Stegostoma tigrinum: one gene and its partners. The protein of the gene in region 1 interacts with the protein of each later gene in a biochemical or structural test. Links are inferred from orthologs where the notes say so. Each region holds a gene or a part of one and is shown on either strand. Other genes may lie near its edges.

Region 1 (7,105 bases):
TACTCCCAGCCCAGAGGACCTGTGGTAATCTGTATTCCCCCATATGCCCCCAGACCCACCTAGGCCTTATTTCAGTGTGGACTGAAACTGGGATCACCTGCACAGTTTGAGTAATCAGTCAACCCAGCGTGAGGAAGTGGGATTTTAGCAACAGGTTCTGGGGGATTTGGCAGGCTGACACCGCTGGTCTCTCACTATCCCAGCCACAGGGTAGGGTGGCTAGGGGGATGTGTCCCAGTGGGTTTTCACTGAAACCGCTGGGAAGCCCAGGCAGTGTGTCCCTTCACAAGGACAGAAGGAGAAAGCAATGGGGGAGGTTCACTTGATGCTCACCCAGTTCATTGTGGAAAGGCTGATGGGGTGGAGGTTGGGGGGGGGGGGGGGGGGGGTGCGGCATCAGTGAAGGAGAGAGATCCAGAATACCATAGCTCACATTCCATGGGATGGAAGCCATAGTGAGGAGAATAGTTCAAGGCAAATCAATATAAAGAAACGATCATGTTACAAAAGCATATCCTGATCTAAGAGGACCTGTTGTGCTCTCCAGCCAGCTCTTGACAATCAATAGCTCATCCACTATCTGTCTCAGTTGCACATGCTGGGGCCAAATGCCCCCATTTCTATTGTGTCTTGTTCTGTCCATCCCCAGGTACACCAGGGCATTTCCACCCCACATTCCAATGTGTAGACAAAGAGTCACAACAGAACAGAATAGAGTTCAGGCGACACAGGGAGTTGATCTCATTGTGAAGAACCACCTAAAATTGCACCATGACAGTGAATCATCAAAACTCTAACACAGAAAGAGACCGTTTGGACCACAGTACCTGTGCTAGCTCTCTCTATCTAGTCAGTTTACCCTGCACACCTCTTCCACCCATTATTCTTCCCCCGGGCCCTGCAATATTGTCCTTTTCAAATGTTTATCCAACGTCCTTCTACAAGTCCCTGTTGGATCTGCTTCTAACACCCAGACAGCATCTTTCAGGCCATGACTACCTGATAAAAAATTTTCTCCTTGCCTCCCTTCTGCTTGGATTGCCAGTTTGTGTCCTGTAACTCCTGCCAGTAGAACCAATTTCTCCTCTTCTATATTGTCAAAACTCTTCACATCACAGTTAGTTCGTAAAGAAAAGAAAAATGCACATTTGGCCTTACAGAGACTCATGTTCGAACTGTTAATTGCACAATCAAAACAGTGACAACAGCAAGTGTAAAACGAAGCTTGTCTCAACATGTTGAGAAAAATCTCAGTGATAGGAAAACCTGTGTCTAATATACTAGGGCTACAAATCATCTCTTTGTGTCATGAACATTAGAGCTGAATCCTTCCCTACCAGTCTACTTTTATTTAATGCGGCTCTTTGACTGGCACAGAACTGTCGAAACGCTGCTATGCTTTGAATTCCTGAGTGCTATTCGGAAAGTTATACTCGGGACGTAGCAAATTATCGGTGATATTATTGCCTAACACCACAAAATGAACTTTTATATCCATTCTCCCTCAAAGCACGAGGGAATGCCAGACAACGAAAGGGTTCTCAGGGTTTAACTCGTTACAAAGCCCCCACGCTAAGGAATGTGCTCATTCTAAATCCGACTGCATTTGGGGCTGTGGGGGTATTCTATCCTGTAGTGGGTATGGTTTTCATTCGAGTCAATTTAAGCTGCCCGTGGTATCAGATTTCAATGCGGTGGGGAGGAAAGGATTGGACTACGCAGTTACAGTCACTATGTGATCAGCAGCAATGGCAGCCCAAGGGATACAAAATGACCCCAAGGTTTCATTTGCCCCCTTTGTGAGGGCTAAAGGAGCAGTGTCTATTTTGTCCAGGGAAACGATGAGTTGATGAAATGTTCTCCAGGCAGAGAGACAGTTTAGATAACGTCGCCCAGAAGCCACAATCGAAAGTAGAAACTGTTCAGAGATTCAAATTATGCTCTCGCATTCTTTGACTGCAGTGCAATTTACGGGCAACTGGGACAGACGGACTTTAGCAACTGTAACTACATCGCAAACAACTTCAGCGGTCTGGGCTGTAAAATCTGGGGCACACCCAAAAGCAGCCCATTCGCGAGATTAATGTCTGGGGAAGGGGAGAGTGGGGGGAGGGTGGTGGAAGGGACAGACTGTGTCCCGTCCAAACTAAACATGGCACTGAGTGAAGAGAGATGCACCTCGTAAAATTTTCATCTGACTCCTCATGTTGCAACAAGTAATGTAGAGAAGTGTCATACTCAAAAAATAGCATTTCAGGAACACTTCAGGGACAAACGGCAGACTTCTGTTGCAAACATTCAAGGCGGGGGGGGTGCGTTCAGCTGAACGGTCTGCCATCTCCATCCCAACCTCCCACCAGTAACACCCACCCCCACCACCGACCACCACCCCCCACCCACTTCAACAACTGTTCTGTCGGGAGAATAGATAAAGCACTTTCTCATTACCTGTAAAAGGTTGAAGGGGGAGCCTCCCTCAAGCCAAAACTGCTGCAGCTGCTCTGTTCATTCTCTACATAGTAGGGGACCTGCTGCCCGTGAGCCACATAGGACGAGAGCTGGGGCGCAGTCTGCAAAAAGACCAGCGGGCTCGGAGACATGCTGTTGAGGGAGTGGAGCCCCCCGATGTTGCTGGAACCATGCGAGTCACTGGAGGCTGTGTAGCCGAGACCAGCCGGGTTGTACAGGGTAGCTGCTGCAGCAAACTCGTAGCCACTTTCTGGGTAGTTCATTGCTCCGGCTCGGTTTTTTTCCACATAGATTTCGTTCAGAGGTCCATCGCCACTTATAGGTAACTGTAGAGTTTGCCTGCCAAAAGTGTCCAAGTCACTAGCCTGAATCTTCTGCAGCAAAGCGATCGCAGGTGATTTGTGATGGAGTGGAATTGCCATGACCAGCATCCAGAGAAAGTGGGGGGTGGGGGTGTAGGTGGGGGAAGAGCAAAACCAAAGCCAACACAGTTCTCAGTGTCACAGACTGACACTGTCGCCTGGAGGATCGCACTTCATATCAGTTGACCAACCTACAAGGGAAAGAAAATCGCACTGTCAGGGGAGGACGAGTACTACAGCGCACACTACTGATGACAGCGCTTCATCCACACACTGATTGCACTGCGTGAAGAGGAGGAGGAGGATACGAGTGAGAGAGTGCAGGGAGAACGACAGAATCAAACTTCAAACCCAAGTCTTTCACATCTGAGCTAATAAGCATTACAAAGGTGTTGGCAGCCAGCCAGAAATCAAAAGGCTGTTTTACACTGGCACTAGTGTAATGTTCCACCGCAGGCAGACACTGTTAAAGTGACATTGAATTGATGTTCCACCAAACATTAAAGACTCTATTATATGTGTGCCTTTCTACGCTTCTGCAGCTTCAGGGGCAGCTTTCCCTTGGGGGATTCCCCCCGCTCCCCCCCATGGTCTCCTCACCTGCAAAGCCGAGAAATTTCGAAGCCAGGAAAGGTCCCAGAAATCTAAACCCGCTTAATCGCCTGATCACTCACACACCCACCTATTCTCCCTTAAGTTTCTCCACTCTCGGCTGCCTCCTGACTCAAGCAAGCCCATGCGTTCGGAACACCTCCTCTACATTTGGAGCTGTAAGCCAAGAGCTTGAACCAATTAGAAGTCATAGCCAAACAGTGCTATTTTCAGTTTGCGCCTGTGACAAATTGGAACGACCTGGGCTAATGTGTTAACGAAGTGTTGAATAGTTTTCTGGAGCTCTTCCCACTTCTTCAGCCTCTCTACCTGAGTCTTTTTCTGCTGCTGCTGCTACGAATTATTTCTATTCATGGTATAATGTCTGGCTGGGTCTTTAATCTGGACTTTTAAAGGGATGATTTGTTAGCGCTAAAAACATGTCAATAAACATACAACAGAGGGGAAAAGAAAATCATTTGAAAGGATGTGAACCTCTTTTCAATCTGTAGCCACACTGACAGCCAGCTGGTGTCACATTAGAGTCTGGCGAAGAACAGGCCCACCTTCACCGGGCTTCAGCGAAGAGGGAGCGTTTCTGAGCTGCTAGAAATGGAAGCACCTGTACTCAAACACAACTGTTTTCCATTCCTTGTCCTGGTCAAAATCCATTACATGTGTTGCCATTCTGTAAAGATGTGCGTGCTGGTATGGAGTTGAGGGTCAAAATTCCAAATCAATCTTCCTTTCACACAGCATGAGAAACAGACCCTCAATCCCAACCAGCCCACCAGGAAGTCATGTGTGCTTTATGCGGACTGACGTTATTGGATGAGGAGTGATCGACAGCACCTAAGCTGCCAGTAGAGAAGAGGGTTCGGTGGCGAGGTGTTGATTCGGGAAGCTTGCTTTGGTAAAACGAAGTCCCAGAAAAACATAGCTCATCAGCGAGAAGCACTACCAACTTGTTTCAACAAGGTGGCTCAGACACAGTTAATCAAGGCGTGTCACAGGAGTGTTCACAGATAAGATTTGACAAGAGGTAATGGGGTACTCAAATGGGTTACCATTTTCATTCACAAAGATCTAGGCTTTCAGGAGTGCTATCATGGAGGAGAAAGCAAACTAGAGAGGTGGAAAGATTTCAGGAAGAAATTCTAGAGCTTAGGAACTAGGCAGGACAACTAACAGTGCAAGGAAGGGACTAGGGAGTATGTAAGCGGTGAGATTGGAGGGTCACAGAGCTCTCTGCAGATCGTATAATTGGATGAGATGACAGAGATAGCGATAGACAAGGCCCTGGAAGAATAGGGATAAGCCCTTTAAAATTGAGCTCATCAAGCGCAGAGGTAAAGAACATACCGAGGCTGAAATTTCTGGGAATAGCAAGTGCCAGATTGGAATTCCTGGGAATATAATGTGCCAGATTGGAGACAGAAAGAATCACTCTCTTACTGATTGGTGAGTACAACTGTTCCCAAAGCCATGCCCTTTCATTTTTGAATGAGAAGTCAGAAAGCAGCCAGGATTTTGTTTGTTAAGGCAGAGAAAAGCACCGATATTCGCTTTAACCCTCTCCACAGCCCCCACACAGGCAGCCAATAAGTCATTTATGAAATATAATCACTATAATTGTTTTCACAAATGTAGCAACCAAAATTACACACAGAGTAGGATCTCACATTCACGAAGTGACTGGTGAATCTGATTTAGTGGTGTCATCTGAGTGATTAACACACAACTCATTGTGCAATGGAATCTATTAAATTCACCTTAACCTTTGATGACTCGTTCAAAAATTTTGGTACTTTCAACACTTCTATATCCTCTGGGCTGTAGTCCATTCAGGCCTCTGGAGTGAGAATTGAACCTACAGCCTTAGGACTCCAAGAAAGTGTACTATACACAAGGCCAAAGCTGGAGTTACAAATGAGACTCTTGTACAGCTGCTTAGTCAGACTGAAAATGAATTTAGCCCTGCTCTGTTCTGGTATTGTTGAGCTCAATGATCTGGAAATTTTGAAATATCAGCACAGGCGAATCTCTCATACATCTTGTTGCTTTGCCAGAAATGGCACCGTGCCTCAGCCTGAGGAGCAGAAGGTATAGAAGAATCAATGTGTTAACAAGTTGGTGGTACTGCTGGAGGAGCCAACAGTTAATTGCAAATATTTCGATTTTTGTAAAGGGAATGTGAGCAGGTAAAGTTCGGGGATTTATTGCAGTGGAAAGATGAAGAGGTTTTGACAGAAAGATGTACCAAAAGTATTGACTTTTGACCTTTTGTCGTAGAAATTCTGCGCCTCTTTGGAGGAAGGGGCCCGCTATTCTCCACTGACATCCAGCAGCTGCTGCCAAATCTTCATTTGTTTGCTTTTGTTACACTGAGCAGGTGAAGGGCCATTCTGATTATTTTTGGAACAAATGAGGCCTTTTTTAATGCATAATTTATCAATGGCACACCGCAAGATGTAGCGAGGGTACTCGTGAATATTCTGTGAAACTGAGCGATGGGCTGCCCGCCCCGCAGGAGGTCAAAAAAACAAATCGAACGAACAGAAAGTGCGCAAGATAGGAAACAAATTGGCCAGCATTTGACATAGACCTCGCAGTCAGTGCTGTACTGTCAGACCCTTAAGCTGTAGCTTATAGAGGCACTGGGGAAGGTGCATGCAGAGAGGCTATCCTGATTAAATTCAACTTTTAACCAGAAGAGTGGAAGTTTAGAGATTGAGACAAATAACATAACGGCAATTAAGGGCAACTAAATAAACCCACGGTTGTGAGAAAATGATAAGAAGGATATGTGAGATGACGGGAGGTGGGAGGACATATAAATGCAGGCTAAATCATGGTGCTGAACTGTTAGACTAGACCTCAAATGGGGTTGCAAGGTGAAATTCTGGACTGGCAAACACCAAGGCAGCAATGGCTGAACGTCTCCCTGCTAACTTGACCCACCCCCATCCAGTCTCCCACATCCTGGCCCTTCTCTATTCTCACTGAATAGGAAGTATCCAGTCTCAAAAGGGGGCAAGATTTGGGAAGCGCTGCACTAGATTCTGTGGCCTGTTGCTGTGCCAGAAATCCTACTGGAAGAGATTATCCAGGCCACAAAATGATGGGAAAATTGAGTGAGATCAGAAGTAATAATATTCTTTATGTTGTGAGCAAAAGTCCCATTTTCCAACCAAGTGCTAAACAGCAAGATAAGAATTTCACTAGTGAGCAACAAGGGGCCTGCTGGTCTACATTATTAATCTCATTATTTGCCCATCCTGCCTCATTGATAGGCAGGTTTCTATCCGCCCAGCAGTTGGATAGGAACTGGGCCAGCGTAATTCCTGTTATTTAAACCAGAGCAGTTACCTCATAGCTCACAGCTTGTTCCTCTGACTATCCATCTTGGACACTAACATCTCAGGGTATGCTTCACGGACAATGACCACACGCACCCTACCCTCTCTGAAAACATTGACATTGGACCGTTTCAAGCCTCCCTGATCTCCTATGGGCCTTGCTGTCCCACTGACAAAATGATCCTCCACCTCAATGTTGCACTTTAGAATACATCAACATCTTTCATACCGCTGCGAGGACAGTTTGTTTGCAGGGACAAACCCCCAACACACGCATCGGACCATAGGCTCATTGCTTGCTCTGTTAGTCCTCACTCACTTTGT
Region 2 (7,038 bases), on another chromosome or scaffold:
CATCTTCGGTCCGCCTCCCCCTCTCTCCCTATTTATTCCAGAACCCACACCCCATCCCCCTCTCTGATGAAGGGCCTAGGCCCGAAATGTCAGCTTTTGTGCTCCTGAGATGCTGCTGGGCCTGCTGTGTTCATCCAGCCTCACATTTTATTAACTAAACTTAACAATATTTCTCAAAGACATTTGTGAAACAAGCCTGTAAAGATGCAACTTTTATGTAAAAGCAAAATACTGAGGATGCTGTAAATCTGAAACAACACATGAAGAATACTGGAGAAACTCAGGAGGTCTGGCAGCAGCTGTGGAGAGGGAAACAGAGTTAACACTGAGTCCAGCATGACGCCACTTCAGAACATCATTCTGTTTTTTTCGCAACCTTTGCATGTTAATGCATAAATTATTAAGTACTTAAAAATTAATTTGCAGCCTATATGCCAACTTTGTGCATCATGCATATTAAGATCAATAGTCTTAAAATTTCAAGATCTTCCCCCTACCTAATGTCCACAGTAACATGGATCACAAAAAGCTTGATTTGCCTGGATGTGCCGTTAAACAAAATAGAATTAAGTACTGTGTATAACATTCTGAAAATACAAAATATCAAGATCTAGGACTACAAATGTGTAATTACAAAACTCTGAGGTGTACACAGAAATATTCAGCACCAGTGACAACCCATCAATTAAGTATGCTTCTGTTCACTATAATTTCAATGCAGCAGCTCACTGTATCAATGGAAGGACCTATGTCCCTGCAGGCCAGTGTGGACCAAGACAACATGAAGGACTTTGTCTTGTTGCAATTTAGTCTACATTCATGTGCCATTCGTTACTGATGAATATAGCTGCAATATCTGCATTAGCACAATTAATAAGGCAGAAGAAATCACAACATGAAAGAAATTTTAAGAAAAACTTCTGCTTGAGGTACAGAAAAACTTGTTACCTACCAACTGTCTTTAAAAGGTATCAACCACACAAAAATGTAGTGACCAGTGCAAGGTATAAGCTGTATGTATTGAGTCAGTGTCAAAGTAAAAGTAAAAATCAACACCAATAAAAAGGGCCTTTTCGCACACCAACACACTTCTCAGCTAACGTGTCACAGAAAAATTAATTTTACCAATAAGAATTATTTAAAATATCAACTTGAGAGATCTACATCCAATACTTGACAAACAAGTTCATGTGAAAGTGTATGCCTTGTAAAAACAGTAAGCTAAAAAAGACAGACAGTAGGAACTGCAGATGCTGGAGAATCTGAGATAATAAGGTGTGCAGCTGGACAAACAAAGCGGGCCAAGTAGCATCATAGGAGCAGGAAAGCTGGCATTTCGGGCCTAAACCCTTCTTCAGAAAAGGGTCTAGGGTCTTCTGAAGAAGGGTCTCGGCCCGAAACGTCAACTTTCCTGCTCCTTTGATGCTGCTTGGCCTGCTGTGTTCATTCAGCTCTACACCTTGTCATGTTAGCTAAAAAAAGACAGTAAGTTATTACATGCTCTACAGCTGGTTTCTACTCATCATTCCACACAGAAAAGCTGTTTAAATGGATCTCATGCACTGCAATAATTGAGCCACCTACACAAAAACTTCAATGTACAATTTAAAAATCAAACAAGTTCGTATAACTTAATGAAACCAGTTCTGAGGAAGGGTCACTGGACCTGAAACATTCACACTTTTTTTTTCCTTCACAGATGCTGCCAGACCTGCTGAGCTTTTCCAGCAACTTTGTCTTTGCTCTTAGTAAAATTATTTATTTCACCCTTGAAGCAAGTTTCTGGAAGTCGCTACAGATACATATCCATCACATTCAAATTCTTTCCTATAGGTTTAAATCCAAACCAACAGAAACACACTAATTCACAGATCAAAAACAGAACATTTATCATTAAGGATTTAACTGGTACTCACATTCATAACAAGTAAGAAATTGATCAAGTTACCCAATGTTAGTAGTTTCAAAACTTAAGGAAAAAATTAGGGAACGTCTTTAATGAGGATAAATAATTTGAAGATGAAATACAGAATTACATCAGTTAATATTAAAAAAAACACATTGATTGTACTACACATTGCTTCTGTAACAACGTATTTAACTAATGATAATGTAGCCCCGTTTCTGCAACTGTATAGACAAACATCAGAAAGAACCTTGCCCTTACTACAGTTTTATGTGCTTTTACTATTGAATTCAACAAAAAATGCAATACAGGATTTATTGAAGTAAAATTCAACTGTATTTAACATGACAGGAAAATTTGCATCATCGCATTCTTCAAACAGAACAAAACAACTTGATCATAATCACTATCAGACAAGAAGTAAGGAAAAGTGACATTCGAACTCTGCTCAAATGGGTGGTGGAAGCCTATTCAAAGGTATTTTTTAAAAGGGAACTGGATAAATGTCTGAAAAGTGCAACTTGGCAGGAGTAATGACAAAAGAGACGAGGCTTAAGGACTTATTGCAGATTTTGTTTCAAAGAAGCAGCAGAGGCATAATAGGTCAGAAGGTCGCGTTCTAGATTATTATGAGAAATTAAACAGACCACAACAGTGTTTAACACCGAACAAGGGAATGTGACAATTGGGAGGAAACACTGTGATACGAACTGACAGATCGATCTCAGGCGCGCCGAGAGTGAACTATTCTTAAAAACATATGGATAGCTGGTTTGTGTTTAAATTAATCGACTAAGCGAACTGGGAGGTTTGGGTATCAACCCAACACCGTACATTGAGGCGGAGAGGGAAGGCAAAGCTCGAAACACTGCGGCACAATGAATGACGGGGTGGGGGGGTGTTTAAGAGTGGCACCGGGCCCGGGATTGATGCCAAGCTTGCTCTGCCCCCAAGAGTCGTCCGAGGCTGGCAGGGCCCCGGTCTCTGTCACAAACTTACCGGCCTCAGTCAAGCTGCTGACCCAGTCGCTCTCATCCCTGTGATCACTGCTGGAACCTTAGTTTCACACAGCCATAAATTTCACAGGTTGATGCTGAATAGAATTTGCGATCGGCTCCCTCCTCCCCCTCCCATCCCCCCCCCCATCCAAGACCCGTCAACACAGCGACCAGCATCCACAGAGAACTACCCACTAGCCGACCCCCCCCAAACAGCCGCGCTCCCATTGGACTCCCCTCGACGGAGGCGTGATCGGGCTTCAGTAAGGTGCTGTTCCATTGGTCGGCGCGCCAGCCAATCAATGCTCAGGGCCGGCAGCGTGGTGACGTCAGGAGCCGCCCCGGCGGCTGAGAAAACTCCACCCACTGGAGGTATCGCGCAAACTGTTCTGTTTCAAGATAATGAGGTGCGGGGCTGGATGAACACAGCAGGCCAAGCAGCATCAGAGGAGCAGGAAGGCTGACGTTTCGGGCCTAGACCCTTCTTCAGAAATCTAGTACTATATTCAGTATTTTGTTATATTGCCTTGATTTAGTTATTTAAGGTTTAATTTGCCTGGATAGCACACAAAACAATGCGTTTCGCTGAAAACAACATATGCTGGAGATCACAGTGGGTCAGGGAACATCTATGGAGAGAGTGCAAGCTAACGTTTCAAGTCTAGATGACTCTTCATCGTATTCGCTGTATCTCAATACGTGACAGTAATAACAAAGTGTGGAGCAGGATGAACACAGCAGGCCAAGCAGCATAACCAGCCCAGCCTGTCTCTGCCTCCCTAACCTGTTCTTCCTCTCAGCCATCCCTTCCTCCCACCCCAAGCCGCACCTCCATCTCCTACCTACTAACCTCATCCCACCTCCTTGACCTGTCCGTCTTCCCTGGACTGACCTATCCCCTCCCTACCTCCCCACCTATACTCTCTCCACCTATCTTCTTTACTCTCCATCTTCGGTCCGCCTCCCCCTCTCTCCCTATTTATTCCAGTTCCCTCACCCCATCCCCCTCTCTGATGAAGGGTCTAGGCCCGAAACGTCAGCTTTTGTGCTCCTGAGATGCTGCTTGGCCTGCTGTGTTCATCCAGATTCACACTTTGCTATCTCAGATTCTGCAGCTCCCATTACCACCTATTATCTCTGTGACAGGAATGGTCCGGGAGAGGGCTGCGCTTGCGCGTCTTAGTCACCATGGGAATAACCGCGCATGCGCTTCGCCCGGAACTGCCGGCGAAGCCATTTTCTCCGTTTTTCTTTGTCCGTCTGCAGTTCATTGTCAGCTTTCTGCTTCCCTGGAAAGGGTCTTTGTGGTGCACTGGTAATGTCCCTATCTTTGAGCAAGAAGGCCTAGGTTAGTTCAAATCTCACCTGCTCCGCAATTGTGTAATGACATCAGAAAAACAAAATTAAATAGTAGTTCTTTTGTGCAGTGGTAATGACCCTAAGGCTTGGGCTCATTGCCCTACCTGCTCGATAGTTATGTCATGACATCTCTGAATAGTTTGAGTTGATTTATTACTGTCGCATATCGAGACACAGTGAATCTGAAAAAGACTCATCTAAACTTGAAAAGTTAGCTTGCCCTCTCTGCATGGATGTTCCCTGACCCACTGTGATCTCCAGCATTTGTTGTTTTGTGAAAAGTATGGTTTTGTGTGCTCTCCAGGCAAATTATACCTAATATAACTAAGTCAAGGTAATAGAACAAAATGCTGAATATAGTATTACAGCTAAAGAGAAGGTGCAGCAAAAGATCAACTTTACTATATGAGACCTCTGTTCAAAAATATAAGTAATGGTTCTTATAGTCTAGTGGTAATGTTCCTAACTCTGAGCCAGGTGGCATGGGTCCAAGTTGGACCTGTTTGAGAGGTGTGTCACCTCTCAACCCACCTGGAGTCAGAAAATTCAACTTATACAGGGAGCACTGCTTTCTAGTAGTCCCTGACTTCAGTCTCAGATTTGAGTAACCTGGTTCTCATATTCTTCTTTTCACTTAGCTGAAGAACCAAACAATTATATTGGAGGCAATGATGAATTTCACTGTTAGTGCCTCAAGAAGACAATGAGTTCCCAAGTTATGGAGAATGATCCACGTTCACAGCATCCCACTGTTAATCTTAATCAATGGAGTTGGAGTAGGAAATGTTGTGCTATGACTTTCTGAGAATTACTTTGGGATGTTCAGCCTGTTTTCCTTGTCAGGGAGGAAGCTGAAAGGAGACCTGACATGTTCAAGGTTGTGAGGGCTCTGAACAGAGTAGACAGGGAGTAACTGCACCCACTTGTGAAAGAATCAAGAATGAAAGGGTGCAGACTTAAAGTAATTGACAAAGGAAGCAAGGCAGTGGTTTGGGGGTGGGGGTGGGTAATAGGAACTGCAGATGCTTAAGAATCTGAGATAACAAAGTGGAGAGCTGGATGAACACAGCCGGCCAAACAGCATCTTAGGAGCAGAAAACTTTTCTGCTCCTAAGATGCTGTTTGGCCTGCTGTGTTCATCCAGCTCTACACTTTGTTATCAAGGCAGTGGTTTGGATTTGGAATACACTGCCTGAGACTGTGATGGAGGCACATTCTGTGGCTTTAAGAGATGTGTTTTGGTGTTTTAAAACGAGACTGGGGAAAAGTAATGAGCAGTCTGTGAGAAGACAAACAACTTGTGAAGCCTTGGGGAATTTTTTTAAAGTCATAACAATCATGCAGCATGTATGGGTGTGATCAAGCTCTCACAGATCCAGGATTTTTAGTTAGATTTCAGCAGTTGTTGCTGGGGTCTCAGCGGTAGAGGAAGGCAGTTAATCCCTCCTGGCTACTACATTTTCGGAACTGTCTTTTGATGTTCTTTCGTCATAGATTAGAGAACTGCATGTGAAATAGTCTGTTTTCTGAATTTGCCTTTTTGCTAAGGGTGTGTTTATGAGATGTTAACAAATTGGAACAGTTAATTAGTCTTATTTATGGTATTTATTATTGTGTTACGTTTTCCAATAGAATTAGGTTATCATAAGTTTTTGTGTTTTGACTGTAGTGTTTTAATAAGTTGTGTTTTGCTTAATGTTAAGTAGCTTGACCAATCAAATTGCATCTGGAACATAGTTACAACAGTTACCTTTAAAATAAAAAAAACAATTGGAGTCTAGGCTACCTTCTTAATATATTTTGAGGAGGTCTGGTCTGGTCCATGACAGTATTTTCAAAAGAGAATTAGCCTGTTGCCTGAAAAGGAAGACTTCATGGTTGAGGGGAGAAGGCTGGAAAATGGCAGTTAGTTAAAATGACCAAAGATACAGTGGACTGAATAGTCTCCTTCTATGCTGAAGGAATTCTGTGATTCTGGGTATTTGGCCCAATTTCTCACTTACTCATCAAGGACATGCCTTCAACCCTCCTTAAAAAGACACCCCAGCTTTTTTTTAACCTTCACTACTCCATACCAATCTTCTGCTTAATGATGTAGATTATTCTACAGAATTGCCTAATTATAGCTGTCTGTTTGTAAGTAGAAATAAAAGCAGGAAGTGGTGGAAATACCGAGCAGTTTGTGAGAGCATTTGTGGAGAGAAGTGGAATAAACATTTCAGGTCTGTGACTCTGATCCAAACTAGGAGAAATTAAAGATGTAATAAGCTTTCAGCAAGGGCTGGGCGGGACAAAAACAACAAAGTTTTGTGACAGAAGAGTTTGAAAGACTGAAGCACTAGCCTTACATTGCCAAAGAAATTGGTGATGGGTCAAGAAAAGAAACAAAGAAATAAAAAAGTGCCTAGAATAGATACGATGCTGACTGAAAAGAAAATGAAACAAGCAAAGAAAATGAAATGGAACAGACATTATATAGTCTGAACCCAGTAATGAGTTTGGAAAGCTGAGTTCAAAGTGAAACACTGTTCCTCAAGGTTGTGTTTAGCTTCACAGGAACACTGCAGCTAGCAAGGTGCAGAGATGTTAGTGTGGGAGCCAGATGTCAAATGACAGATCACTAGAAACTCAAGGTGGCCCTTACAGGTGTTCCATGAATTGGTCACCAAATCTCCATTTGGTGTCCCCAGTGTAGGAACCATGTAAATAGTGAATACGGTAGATGAAACTAAAAGCATACTTAAATGAGACACCACAAAATGTGGAGCTGGAGGA
Region 3 (7,497 bases), on another chromosome or scaffold:
ATGTGATGCAGTGGGGGGAGGGGACAGACTGGGCTGGGTTTGGGATGCGGTAGGGGAAGGGGAGATTTTGAAGCTTGTGAAGTCCACATTGATACCATTGGGCTGCAGGGTTCCTAAGCGGAATATGAGTTGCAACTCATATTCCGCTTGGGAACCCTGCAGGCCAATGGTATCAATGTGGACTTCACAAGCTTCAAAATCTCCCCTTCCCCTACCGCATCCCAAAACCAGCCCAGTTCTTCCCCTCCCCCCACTGCATCACAAAACCAGCCCAGCTCTTCCCCTCCCCCCACTGCATCACAAATCCAGTCCAACCTGTCTCTGCCTCCCTAACCTGTTCTTCCTCACCCATCCCTTCCTCCCACCTCAAGCCGTGCCTCCATTTCCTACCTACCAACCTCATCCCACCTCCTTGACCTGTCCGTCTTCCCTGGCCTGACCTACCCCCTCCCTACCTCCCCACCTATACTCTCCTCTCTACCTATCTTCTTTTTTCTCCATCTTCGGTCCACCTCCCCCTCTCTCCCCATCCCCGTCTCTGATAAAGGGTCTAGGCCCGAAACGTCAGCTTTTGTGCTCCTGAGATGCTGCTTGGCCTGCTGTGTTCATCCAGCCCCACACTTTATTATCTTAAAGTCACTCCTCAACCTCCTACGCTCCAATGAAATGAGTCCCAACCTATCCAGCCTATTTTTGTAGCTCAGACTAACCACTCTCAACAACATCCTGGTAAATCTTTACTGAACACTCTCCAATTTAATAATATCCTTCCTATAGCCAGGTGACCAATTGTGTGTAGAGGTGTGACACAATGATATGGGGGGGGGGTACAGTTTTAAGAACTCTTACCATTGCCACATTTGGTTTTACGTAAGCAAGAAAGATAAATAATTTTGTTCATAAATGTCACTCAATTGCCAAAAAAAACAACAGGGATGTTTTTCTGCAATGGTACAGGGCCTTGATGAGACCACATCAGGAATATTTTGTGCAGTTTTGCTCTCCTTACCTGTGGAAGGACGTTCTGGCTGTGGAGGGAGCACAGTGAAGGTCTACCAGACTGATTCTTGGGATGAAAGGAGTGGTTTATGAAGAGAGACAGGATCAGTTTGGACTATATTCACAGGAGTTTAGAATAATGAGGAAGAATGTCACAGAAATCTATAAATTTCCAGAAGAACTAACCATGGTAGATGCATGAAGAATATTCTCGATAGCTGGGGAGTCCAGAACCAGGGCTCACAATCTCAAGATACAGTGCTGGCCATTTAGGATTGACAAGAGGATAAATGTCTTCATCCAAAGAGTGGGGAGCCTGTGGAATTCTCTGCCACAGAAAGCCGTTCAGGCCAAAACATCGAATTTTGTCAAGCAGGTAGATATAGTTGCTAAGACTAAAGGGGTCAAAGAATACGGAGAGAAAACAGAAACTGAGTTGGATGATCAGCAAGATCATATGGAATGGGGTGGCAGCTTAGAAGGGCTGAATAGCCTTCTACCGTTCCTATTTTCTATGTTTCTAAACTACTGAGTTTGAGGGCAATTAGAGACGGCCAATAGACACTGCCCTTGCCAGTAATGCCTATAATCCTATGAAAGAACAAAGAAAACATGCAACTGAGCAGCGAGGCTTTCCGTTTTGGTGGAAATTAATATGAGGCAAGTTCTGAAGAATGATCGCTGATCCAGAGGCGTTAAAGTGTTTCTCTCTCCACAGATGCTGCCAGACTCGCTGAGTTGCTCTGGCATTTTCTTCCAAAATGACAACTGGGTTAACCTGCAGAGATGGCAGGAACTGCCGATGCTGGAGAATCTGAGATAACAAGGTGTAGAGCTGGATGAACACAGCAGGCCAAGCAGCATCAGAGGAGCAGGAAAGCTGACGTTTCGGGTCTGGACCCTTCTTCCGAAAATCTGCCATCGTCAATATTTAAAAAAAACTCTTCGTAAATGAAATCAGTAAATCAAACAGCAGCGTGTTGAAAGGCGTGAGATTTTATACATATATAGCCTTTTGCCAGTAATAGCGGCTAGTTTAGTTCTGGAGATTAGATACCGAAACAATCCATATTAATCTTTCATCTTTGCCTACAAACTTGTCGTGACGCTTATCGCTGCCTCAGTCATTTTCCGCCTACCTGGAACAGCACTGGGTTACCTGTCCAGTTAACACACCTACCGTACTAACCTGTGTAAGCGCCGCCATCCACACTCTGTGCTGACACGCTTTCGAGTGTCAGCGAAAATCCGGGTTGAATAAAAACACGCCAGGAAGGTTTACAGCGATATTATCGGCAACATTTTTATTTTATTTTGTGTGTGGAGCGCTTAATGGAGATTTTTTTTAGAAGTTCAATCAGCAACTTGTTTCTGTGTATTTTTGTTAATTTCTCTGAACTTTCTCATGGCGATCGGAATGGGTCACCGCCTCCTCTTTGAAAATGGAATTGCGTTCCAGTTTTCAGTGAAAATTAGTTTCGATATTAAGAGTCACAGGCCAGACCGCGGCCACCGTTTAGATGTGAGCCTGAAAGTAAACCCACGCTCTCATTTCCACCGCTACTATTTTATTTTAAAATAAAGAAGCTCCCCCTGCCCCAAAAGGCAGAATTTCACAATACACAGCATCATCGCGCCGGGAAGTGAAAGTCTACAAAACGTGACTTCCGACCCTCCGCCCGCTCTGCGCTGAATTTGCTCTCGCACTGGCGGCGAGTGAGGGGCAGAGTTGGAGAGATGTTACCTCAGCGTTCCGTTCCCAAGCCCTCCTCTGCAATAAAACAGTACCCCACGCCCTAGCCCGGTCCAGCCCTTTGTTTTGTTATTTTTTCTCACTCTTTAAAAATAGATCCTAATAATAGGATTATAATTTTATTTGCTACAAATGCTGACACACAGGAATGTTTGGGAGCGGTGTTTTTCGGGAATGGGGGGGTCATTGCAGGACTGCGAGGCGAAATCTTCAGGCAATCAGTAGCGTCGTTTCTGTGCGTGGTGGTGTGTGTGTATATTTTAAGTGAAATGCACAGATCCCTCCTCACATCCGTTTTGACAAATGATCTGAGTTGCTCGGCAAAAGCTTCCTCTGTTCGGAACAATAGCTTAGCTGTATTACGGTAATTAGATGCAAGCGGAGCATGTGGAGCTGTTAATGTAGGAGCAACTTGGAATCTCAGGAATGTCCCGGCTTCCATTAATGATCATGCGACAAAATTCACAGCGAGAGAGAGAGAGAGAGAAAGGGGAAAAGAAATAAGACTCTAAGAGACGGAGAAAGGGAGGGGAGGGGGTAATCTTTCTCACCATTCAATAAAATTATAGGAGCGATTAGAAAGAGAAAATAACAGGCCAGCCACAATGAATTAAAAATAAGACGATCTTATCTCTGAATCACCATTAAAGCAAAGGTTACAAAGGGCTTGATTGAAAAGTTTTGCAATTCTGTAAAACAGAAAGGAACTGTGATTCAGTACAGTGTGTGTTTAAAACAATGCAACACATTTACATCAAGGTGATCCCGATTTTTCAAGCCGCACGCCCGGCCCCCCGCCCCCCCGATCAAACTCCATTGTGAGCGCCCACATTCCTTCGAACAAAAGAGACGGCGCTGGATGCCTGAGTGATCGATGATCGCTGAGGCTCCGGGCTCGTTGATCTGCCTAGTAACAATCTTTTCCGCCATTGGCTATGCTAATACCTTCGCCTCTTATTTCTACCGGCGTAAGGGGTTTCCTCTGACAGACCGAGCAAGTTTTGCCAACTGAACTTCATCCCTCCCCTCCACCCCGATTCCGGAGAGAGAAAAAAAATCTTTTTCAAGTGAAGAGAGAGTTTTTGTTTTTTTTAAAAAACACGCAGAAATAAAGAAGCCGGGAAGAGGAGCACATGCAAAGCAGGAAGCGTTGGGGATAGACTAGGCTGACCCCTGGATTGCGAAGCTGTCGTAGCAGCAGTGAAAAATTAATAACCATGGGGTCGGAATTTTGCACAAATGCAAATGATCATAATGCACCAAAATGCATGTTTTATCCCAGTGGGCACAGTAATCGCTTCCTCAGATATATGCGTGCGCGGCTGCTTTGCACGGACCTAGAGGTTTTCAGTGTAGAATAAATCTTATTTTTAACATTAATTCTGCTCCCATTGTACCCAATGCTCGCGACTTTCACTGAACTGTCAGTCAATCGTGGGATGACTGACAGCTGAGTACAAGTTCCCACTGAATGCAAGGACTGAGGTTTAATTTTTGCAAATATGTAAGTGTGCAATGTTGCACACAGATCTGGGAACATGTCCGGCTCCTAGACACACACACAAAAGTTTCAAAATAAGCCCCCGTCGCCGCAATAAGGTTGAATTTGAGTGGATCTTGCTTCGGAATGGGGGCGGCTTTATCAGCTCCGTTGCCCTTCCCAACCCACACAGACACACACACACACACACACCCCCACCCCCCGGGTTGGCCTCTCTCGTTCCTCCTTTGATCTTCCCAGCCGCAGCTGCTCTACATAACAACTCAAAGCCGATTGCGTCACTCGCGGGCAAGTTATAGTTAAAGTTTTTTTTCCCCTGAACTAGAGCCTCCAGAGGCAGCAGCATCCCTTGCTTTAGTCAATGCAATAAGGAGAGAGAGAAAGAAAGGAAGGAAAGGGGTGAGAGAGAGAGAGAGAGCAGAGCAGAGCGCCCTAGCAATGGAACATCAGCTGCTATGTTGCGAAGGAGAGGCTATCAGAAGAGCTTATAACGATCCCAATCTCATCAATGATCGTGTCCTGCAGACTATGCTCAGAAGCGAAGAGAACAGCCTGCCCTCTCTCAGCTATTTCAAGTGCGTCCAAAAAGACATTGCGCCTTCCATGAGGAAGATTGTTGCGACTTGGATGCTGGAGGTTTGTGCACAGAATCTTATACAGAACCTAGATATCTCTCTCTCTCTCTCTCTCTTGTAGTTATACTCTGGGTATCGAACGATGTGCAGGACCTGACATTTGTGCTTTGCAGGACGTCAGTGCAGCCCGATTCTGCCCAGATTTTTTTTAAACTTGCAAGCTGGCGGCACAACTGTTGAATTTGTCATAGAGACCCCTGTAAATTCCACCCCCGCCCCGCATCCCAGCCATCCCGCTTTCCTTGCTTTCCATCTGAGTGGGGTTACTGATGTAATGTTTTAAATGCAGTTCCTCTTACCGCTCTCTCTCCCTCTTGTCCTCTAAACACCTCCCTCCCACACCCTTTGCTGTGTGCCCACAAACAGACCCACACTCACCCCTGACCATGAGCTGGTTACGGGGCAGTAAGGTGAGGTGATGTATTGGAAGGGCCGGTCGATGGGGGGAGGCTGCTATGGAAAAGGAGAAAACGCTCTCAATGCCGTATCCCAGTCACCCAGCCCATCTACCCCTCTCTCTGTCCCTCGGCCCCAGCTCCTGGGGCTCAGAAATGAATTTTAACCCCAAAATGAGGTTGTACACGTATGCAGCTCAATGCGTGCCAGTATTCAACGCCATCTTTGTTCAGAATAACTCGAGAACCCCCTCCCCTTCCAAACGCCTCACTGGGTCTGGGCAAGGATGGGGGGGGTGCTTTTTACCTCTTTGGGAGGGTGGCAAGCCCAGGGTTGCGGGGGGAATGTTGCTGAATTTCCGGGTGTGAAACTGACAGAGATTTCCTCCAAAGTCAGGGTCTCAGCCAAAACTTCCCAGACCCTGTGTATCTGACCCCTCTCGGGGAGAAAGGTCTCAAATTCATGGGCAAAAGTGGGGTCAGAGGGCTGGAGAAGGCGCCCGGTACAAAGTTGAGAGCCCGCTGCACATTTTCGTGCTGTTTCCGTGCTGTTCCGCCCTCGATGAGTATTTTTAATCATTTTTTGAAGGAGCGCAGCGGCTGGTTTATGATCGGGGCGCAGATTGCAGCGTTACCCCCGGGGGGACTCTCATTTCACTCCCTTTGGCAAGTTTAACCACCTGAAAATGCCCCCAGCATTGGCCAGTTAGAAAGAGCGCCGGTTGCGCTGGATTTTCGTCCCCTTTTGGGCGCCCGGGCTAATTTTTAAATATTTTTAAATATTTTTTGAAAAGATGACGACGCGAAAATTCAAGCCGGGTTTGGGAAAGAGGGAGAGAGACAGGAGGAGGGGAGTCTGTCTGTCTGTCCAACTCAGTCCAAATTCCTGGGTCTGAGAAAAGGGTGAGAAGGAGAAATGATGGAGGGTGAGAATTTTTTTGGGGGGGTTACGGGTGTGTGGAATAACCCCCCCCGGCACCCTCCAGGTAATTTTCCACTTTGTGGTGTTGCCCCTTCTGTAGGTTTGCGAGGAGCAGAAATGCGAGGAAGAGGTGTTTCCGATGGCCATGAATTATTTGGATAGATACCTGTCGATCGAACTGACCAAGAAGACCCACTTGCAATTACTGGGAGCTACTTGCATGTTCCTGGCGTCAAAAATGAAGGAAACGATTCCGTTAACAGCGGAAAAATTGTGCATTTATACCGACAACTCTATCCGGCCCGAGGAATTACTGGTAAATAGCCAATCTCTTTCCCTGTCCGCCCCCCCAAAAAAAACGCCAATGCCCTCTATCTGAGCTCAAATCTCAGTCCTCAGAACTCTCTCTCAATCTTCCTTGAATATCTCCTCCTCCAATGTATCACCAGCAGTAACTCCTTCCCAGCTCTACCCCCCCCCCCAGATATTGTGCAAACACAGACACTTTCAACCAGATTCTCGCATTTAAGGAGTATTCAGTGATACTCAATTTGCAAGTCTCTTCCTAATGCTCCTCAAGTTAATCAGAAGCAATGTTTCACAGATCCCCTACGCGCCCCCCCCCCCCTACACACAAATAAAACACAAGCATCTATATCCCATTCACAAGCCCCTCCAATTTGGGAACCCCCAATAATTTTCTTTATCATCGTGCGCTGACAATTATTTCCGCTTTCCCCCAGTCCAATAGCCGGAAAAGAAACTGTTGCAAAAGGAATCTCGAACGTTGTCACTGAGTTTTAGAAGTAGGGCTTGAGGGATTTTTCGTTTTTGTTTTGTAGATTCTCGGTGTTCCAGACTTCTGTTGTTGAACACTGAACAGTTCTGGGGTTTTATAAAGTGGAGCGTGCAGGACCTCAAATGCAGAGGAACTGAACTTAATATTTTAGCCCCACTCCCCTTGTTTCTGAGGCGGAAGGCAATTGCGAGGGGGTGGCGCCCTCTTTTGAGATCAGCGGCTGTACCCTGCTGGGACCCTGCTCTGAACAGCGTCCTGTCGATTAGATATCAAATCAAGAGCAGATTAGTTTATTTCTTTTGTTTTTTTAAAAATGTATTCCATAGGTCACAGTTGCGCACAACATACAGACTCTGTTTAAACTCAACATTTACAACAGTGATTTTATTTTTTTCCTAACTTTGGTACAATGCGGAAGCATATTAAGTATCTATTTTCCAGCAATACGTTTTGCAAATATGCCAGTGGTATCTAAAATACATTTATTCTCAAC
Region 4 (6,907 bases), on another chromosome or scaffold:
CATCCCTTGACCTGCAAACACCCCAGTCAACTTTTGGGAGTCTTGCCTCATACCTTCTAAATTGGAGGAAGGTCAATTTTGACCTTTAACTTTTAAAGCCGGTCTATCCTATTCCATCACTATTTTAAAACTAAACGGAATAATGTCAGTGGCCTAAAGTGCTCCACCACTGAAATCTTAGTAACTAGTCCTACCTTATTTCCCAAGAGCAGGTCCATCCACATACTGCACCAGAAAATCTTCATGTATACACTTAAGAAATTCCTCTTCATCCAAGCCTTTAACACCACAGCAGTCCCAATCTATGCTTGGAAAGTTAAAATCCCCTACCATAACCACCCCATTATTCTTACAGATAACGGAGATCTCCTTACAAATTTGTTTCTCAATTTCCCGCTGACTATTGGGGTTTATAGTACAATACCAATAAGGTGATCATCTCTTTCTTATTTCTCAGTCCCACCCACTAGCTTCCCTGCATGGACTCCCAGGAATATTCTCCCTAAGTACAGCTGTAAATATTATTCCTAATCAAAAACTCCACTCCCCCTCCTCTCTTGCATCACCCTTCTATCCCTTCCTATATCATCTATACCCTGGAACATTAAGTTAGTAATCGTGTCCAGTCCCAAGCCACGTCTCTGTAATAGCTATATCTCAGTCCCACGTTCGCATGGAGTTCATCTGCCTTACCTATTAGGGCTCTTGCATTGAAATAAATGCTGTTTAATTTATCAGTCCTACCTCATTCTCTACATTGCTCCTGCCTCTTCCCTCCCTCCACTAGTATAAATGCTCCCAAGCAGCTCTAGTAAATCCCACGCCAGTATATTAACCCCTTCCAATCCAGGTGCAATCCACCCTTCTTAATCTGGTCATTTCCACCCTAGAAGACATTTAAATGATCCAAAAATGTCAATCCTTCACCCCGTGCCAGATCCTCAGCCATGGATTCATCTGCTCCATCTTCCTGTACGCTCACTAGCCAGTGGTACCAGCAGTAATCCAGATATTACCCTCAAGGACCTCCTTTTCAAGTTGCTGCCTAATATCTTATATACTCTCCTCAGAATCTCATTCTTTCCCCTTATGTTGTTAGTTCTCACGTGTACAGGAACCTCCTGCTGTCCTCTCTCCCCTTTGAGAACATTCTGCACATTCTCCAAGATATCCTTGATTCCTGCACCAGGGAGGCAACACAGCATTCAGATTTCTCACTGTTGGCCACAAATTTCCATCTGTGCTTCTGACTACACAGTTCCCTATTACTTTGCTTGGAACCTGGTGTACTCCTCCTTACATTAAAGCCAACCTCTGTACCAGAAACCTGGCTGTCCACGCCACATTCCCCTGTGAATCCATCACCCCCTACATTTTCTAAAACAGCATACTTATTTGAGATGGGGATAGCCACAGAAGACTCCAGGACGTCATGCCTCACTTCCTATCTTTCCTGGTGGGTAACCCATGTACCTGACTGTTTCTGTGGTTTTTCTCCCTTCTTACAAGCTGCCATCTATCATATTCCTTAGCTTCCGTTAGTTCCTCATTGCCTCTAACTGCCACTCCAACTAATCCATGCGATCCAACAGGATTCACAACCAGGCACACTTTCTGCAAACAAAGTCATCAGTTACATGGAAACACTCCCTAATCTCCCACATCTGACAGGAAGACCATGTCTTCCAAAGGCCATCTTTGCATCTTGACTATCCACAGACCCAGAAAATAGCACACATTCTTAACTGCCCTTAAAAAAACTGCTCAAGGCTAACTTAGTACCTATGTTTTATATTATTACAGTTTAATCTAGAGACCAATCTCAATAAAACATATAATAAAAAACTCCACTCTACTCACTATCATAGCTTTACAAAATAAACAATAATGGTTACAAGATGTTGGGTGCCAAGGTGACATCAAGTAGAATGGGCCAGTGGGTACCATAGAAGCTAAGGTGAGGCAGTTGGTATCAGAAAGGTGGGTTGGTGGTGAGAGGCAGTGGATGTCAATGAGGAGTGGGGATGTCAAGAGTGAGGGATTGGTGAGATTAGATTCCCTACAGCATCGAAACAGGCCCTTCAGCCCAACAAGTCCACACCACCCCTTGAAGCATCCCACCCAGATCCCTCCCTGTATAACTCACACACCCCGAACACTACGGGCAATTTTAGCATGGCCGATCCACCTAGCCTGCATATCTTTGGACTGTGGGAGGAAACCGGAGTGCCCGGAGGAAACCCACGCAGACACGGAGAACGTGCAAACCCCACACAGACAGTCGCCCAAGGCTGGAATTGAACCCAGGTCCCTGGCGCTGTGAGGCTGCAGTGTTAACCAGTGAGCCACCGTGCCACCCTCTGTTAGAGGGAGGGTCCCAAAGGAGCAGGTGGCTGAGATAGCGGATGCCAAATAGAATGTCATTGAGGAGAGCATCAACAGGGAAGCTGCAATGGGTACAAGAAAATGAAATAAAGAGGAGGGAAACAGAGTCTAAAATGGATGATATCACCGAGGTTGGTGAAAAAGGAGATGGAAAATTGGGTGGCCTGGAGATGGTGGGGGGTGGGAACGGGGTTGTGGGAAAGTGGTGAGAGAGATGGTGGGAAAGAATAGGACAGAGGTCGAGAGGGAGCGATAAATACAAACATGCACCATTTGTTTACACACAGCTCTCTTGAGAACACCATCAACCCCGGCGGGACCAGTCGATTCCTCCAGTCTCCAACAACCCCCACGTTCAACCAGACTCTTTCGTAATCCATCTGAACACCGGGGGACTGCACGCAACAGCCGGTACAGGCCCAAGCTATAGCACAGGCAACGACAACAGCTGTCCTCAGATTCCCCAGCCTGGAAACTGTAAGAGCTGTTTTGAGGAGACATTGTCCCTCTCCATCGGCCACTGACTCACCAAGAAACTCAATGTCCCCTGCTGCTCGCGCTCGATCACCCGGCAACCCCGTCACTTCCAGCTGGTGCTTGGAACCGTGGGCCAGCCATTCCCAGCCGCCACTGCGTGGGAGCGCGCACAATCACGTGACCTATTCTCGCTCGCGAGGAGGCGGGAAGAGGCTGCTTTTGGTTACCGGGGTGGGGGGAGGATGTTTCACCAAGCCTAACCGTTATTGAATGGACCTGGGATGAGACCGTTTGGAAGAGGATTTCTTTCCTTTAAACTCGCAGCATCTGAGGGGCTTCGATGAATGCGAAAGCTTTTTTTTCATCGAATCTCCTTCCGGGGTTTCAGTAAGGTCTCCTAGTTTTACAGTACAGATTTATTCTCTGTGGGGGAGTAACATCTAGGCATTTACAGCAAAGTTTTTTTGTTTCATTTCAGCACTTTTTTTGTTAATAATATGTTTGACCGACGAGGCAAGAGAGTTATTCGATCCGTATTCGTGAATCTGTTTGTCGTTGAGTTAATGTGGCAAGTGGTGAACGCCTAGGATGGACGCTCTCGGTAATCGCCGGGGGAGTGCGGAGTTTGGACACGGGTACATAATTTCATAGAGATAGTAAGAACTGCCGATGCTGGGGTCTGAGATAACACATTTGTGAAGAAGGGTCCCCACCCGAAACGTCAGCTTTCATGTTCCTCTGATGCTGCCTGCCCTGCTGTATTCCTCCAGCCCCACACTGTGTTATCTATATAATTTTATATATCTTTATTCATTCACGGGTTGAGGGCGTCGCTGGCTAGGCAGCATTTATTGCCCAGAGTCAGTGACGTTGCTGTGGCCAGACCAGGTAATGATGGCAGTTTCCTTCCCTAAAGGGCATCCTTCAGGAATTGGTGCAGTAAGTAGCAAAGAGGAAAGCCGAGGCTGTTGAAGGATATCAGTGACAAATAGAATTCAATCTGGCTAAATGTGAGATGATTTATCTGGAAGGACTAACAAAGTAAGGGAAGTACAGCTTGGAATGTCCACTGATTGTTGAAACAGCAGAGCCAGTGGATAAGGTGTTTAAAGAGGTATATGGGATACTTGCTTTTATTTGTCAAGGCATTGAATATTTAAGAACAGAAGTTATGATGGAACAGTATATGAAGCTAGGCCGCAGGAGTATAGTGTGCATTACTGGCTGCCACACTATGGGGAGGACGTGATTGCACCAGAGAGAGTGCAAAGGAGATGCACCAGAACGTTGCCCAGCCTACAACATTTCAGCTACGAAGAGAAATCGGTTTAGGGTTGTTTCCCTTAGAGCTGAGAAGGCTGAAGAGAGATCTGATTGTAGTGTCCAAAATTATAAGGTACATTAATAGGTGGAGGGTATCTAACTTGCTGCTAGAAAGGGTGGTAGAAGCAGGAACCCTGACAACATTTAAGAAATGTTGGGATGAACACTTAAAACATGAATGACCAACTGCTGGGAAATGGGCCTTCAGTAGATAGGTGGATGATGACAGGCGTGTAGGCCAAATGGTCTCTTTCTGACTGTAAAACTTTGACTGTAATTGGCACTTTGCCTGACAAAGGAGCAGCAATCTGAAAGCTTGTGATTTTGTAAAAACCTGTTGGACTATAACAGCCTCACAGCGCCAGGGACCCGGGTTCAATTCCAGTCTCAGGTAACTGTCTGTGTGGAGTTTGCACATTCTCCCCATGTCTGCGTGGGTTTCCTCCGGGTGCTCCGGTTTCCTCCCACAATCCAAAAGATGTGCAAGGTAGGTGGATTGGCCATGCTAAATTGCCTGTAGTGTTCAGGGGTGTGCGGGTTATAGGGGGATGGGTCTGGGTGGGATGCTTCAAGGGGCGGTGTGGACCTGTTGGGCCGAAGGGCCTGTTTCCATACTGTAGGGAATCTAATCTAATCTATAACCCCGTGTCATGTGACTTCTGACTTTCTCTTTTAAGCTAAAGCAGCCCTGAGTTCCTGTTGGCCTGTGGCAAGTTTAGCCCATTTGAAGTGGCAGTTGCTAGAACACAATATCTGCAGGCAAGGTTTGTGAATAAGTATTCATATAGTCACAGGTTTATAAGAATCAGCTTGTACTTATATGTTACCTCTTCTCATTGTTGGGATATCCCTTTCCATCTACAGGTGAATAGTAGTTCTTCTGTATTGCAGTGAAGCATCAGCATGATTTGTATGTTAAAATTCGAGTGGGATTGGGACCCATAACTTCTGATTCAGAAATGATTGCAAACTACCGAGTCAAGCTTAAACTACACAACTACTCTACTATTTGAATCCATTGTTTTGCAATTAGTATTGGAAGTATGTTCGCAATGCACCCAATCTATGTTGATTTGTGCTGCTTATCATGCAATCATTCCTAGGATGTAGGTGTTGCTGGCTAGTCCAGCATTTGTTTTGTATCCCTAATTGCCCAGATGGCAGTTAAGAGTCAGTCTCATGGTCTGAAATCACATGTAGGCTGGGTCAGATAATGATAGTTTTCCTTCCCAAAAGGGCATGAGTGAATCAGATGGATTTTTACAGCAATCAGCGGCAGCTTCATTTCTTGCTGTCAAGCTAGCTTTTTATTGAATTCAAATTTCATTCATCTGCCATAATGGGATTTGAACACATGTCCTCAAAATATTAGTGACCATTTATATATCATGACTCGCGAAATTGCCACTATGCCATCACCTCCTAACAGAGGTTAGCTAATGGAAAACTAATGATATTTCCTTTGGGAGGACATAAGTTTTGCCTTGAATGGCAGAGCATGCTGAGTGGCCTAATTTGTACATAGTATCAAGAAACAACTGAGCATACTGGATGTGGAGTCTGTTCATGGCTGCAGTACTAATTTCTGCTGCAAAACTAATTTTAGCTAAGCTCTGGTATAGCTGTGATGCAGCCATCCGCTCAACAATTTGAAACATTGCTTGAGCAAAGTATGTCCTGTTCACAAAAAAAGGTGAAAATCAATCCAGCCAGTTACTGCCCAATCAGCAAGCTTTCTATCATCAGCAAAGTGAATGAAAGAAGGATTAAAAATCATATTAACAGGTAGCATCTATTTAGTCAAAACTAGCTCACAGATTCTCTGCTTGGCTTCTGCCAGGATTATGGATTTCCAGGCCTCATTGCAGTCTTGGTCCAAATACGAACAAAGGAGCTGAATTACAGAGGTGAGGTGGTGTCCCTGACATCAAAGAAGTATTAGATTGTGTGGCATAAAGGAGTCTTTGTAAAACTGTAATCAATGGCCTGATGTTCACCAGTTGGAGATGCTAGTCTGACAATTCAAGAACAGCGATGGTGCAAGTAGGTAGGACAACCCAATCCCCTATACTACAACCTTCTGTGGTCCTGTACAGGCTATTACATCTTAAGTGTGCAAAGCAGAGTTGAAGAATCCTGCGCCCCGTCTGCTAACTTTAATCTACTCATTGCAGTCACATGCTTTCCAAAAATACCTGGAAAGTTTTTAACATATTTGACCATGGACATGCTCAATTTCCTTATTTCCACACGAGTATTGATCAGGTCATGAACTACCAGAATATCCAAGCTATGAAACGAGAGATTGAGGGCAGGTAGGGAGAGCTTGATAGAGATTGTCGGACTCGTGTGAAGTAGACACCTGGATGAAAGAAGAGATAGCAACATTTCTCAGCAAGATGGTCACAGAAAAGTTCGTGATCAACATTTGACATCACCATTCCTGTGTCAGTTAGGCACAGCACTTCTATCTTGCCAAATTTCTCACTGTAGAGCATGTCTGTGGTATTTCTACATAAGATTCCTGAAGGAACCTTGCCCCCATTTGCTCGCCTGGCTCTTGATGGAAGGCCCAACCAGTTTTTAACATCTTTTGAGAATCATAGGCTGTTGCTCTGGATGGGTTCCCTGTCTTAACAGCAGTGGTGCCTCTTTTTGTTTAGACTCATTTGAAATGCCCAGTCCTGTCACATTTTCACAACCCCTTTGGAGCATCCAACAC

Evidence for each region.
Region 2: the proteins of esr1 (region 1) and ncoa6 form a complex in vitro, tested with the Homo sapiens proteins (4 studies listed by BioGRID). The link is inferred for Stegostoma tigrinum from reciprocal best matches to the Homo sapiens genes ESR1 and NCOA6.
Region 3: the proteins of esr1 (region 1) and ccnd1 form a complex in vitro, tested with the Homo sapiens proteins (2 studies listed by BioGRID). The link is inferred for Stegostoma tigrinum from reciprocal best matches to the Homo sapiens genes ESR1 and CCND1.
Region 4: the proteins of esr1 (region 1) and tbp form a complex in vitro, tested with the Homo sapiens proteins (2 studies listed by BioGRID). The link is inferred for Stegostoma tigrinum from reciprocal best matches to the Homo sapiens genes ESR1 and TBP.

What each region holds. Positions count from the first base shown.
Region 1 is NC_081362.1:16,541,706-16,548,810, forward strand, and holds the start of esr1 (estrogen receptor), read right to left. Parts: upstream 3,008-7,105; 5' UTR 2,901-3,007; coding exon 2,449-2,900; intron 1-2,448.
Region 2 is NC_081372.1:13,070,330-13,077,367, forward strand, and holds the start of ncoa6 (nuclear receptor coactivator 6), read right to left. Parts: upstream 3,027-7,038; 5' UTR 2,906-3,026; intron 1-2,905. UniProt on the Homo sapiens protein: Nuclear receptor coactivator that directly binds nuclear receptors and stimulates the transcriptional activities in a hormone-dependent fashion. Coactivates expression in an agonist- and AF2-dependent manner.
Region 3 is NC_081370.1:61,635,667-61,643,163, forward strand, and holds the start of ccnd1 (G1/S-specific cyclin-D1), read left to right. Parts: upstream 1-4,471; 5' UTR 4,472-4,691; coding exon 4,692-4,889; intron 4,890-6,305; coding exon 6,306-6,521; intron 6,522-7,497. UniProt on the Homo sapiens protein: Regulatory component of the cyclin D1-CDK4 (DC) complex that phosphorylates and inhibits members of the retinoblastoma (RB) protein family including RB1 and regulates the cell-cycle during G(1)/S transition.
Region 4 is NC_081357.1:94,277,331-94,284,237, reverse strand, and holds the start of tbp (TATA-box-binding protein), read right to left. Parts: upstream 3,027-6,907; 5' UTR 2,915-3,026; intron 1-2,914. UniProt on the Homo sapiens protein: The TFIID basal transcription factor complex plays a major role in the initiation of RNA polymerase II (Pol II)-dependent transcription.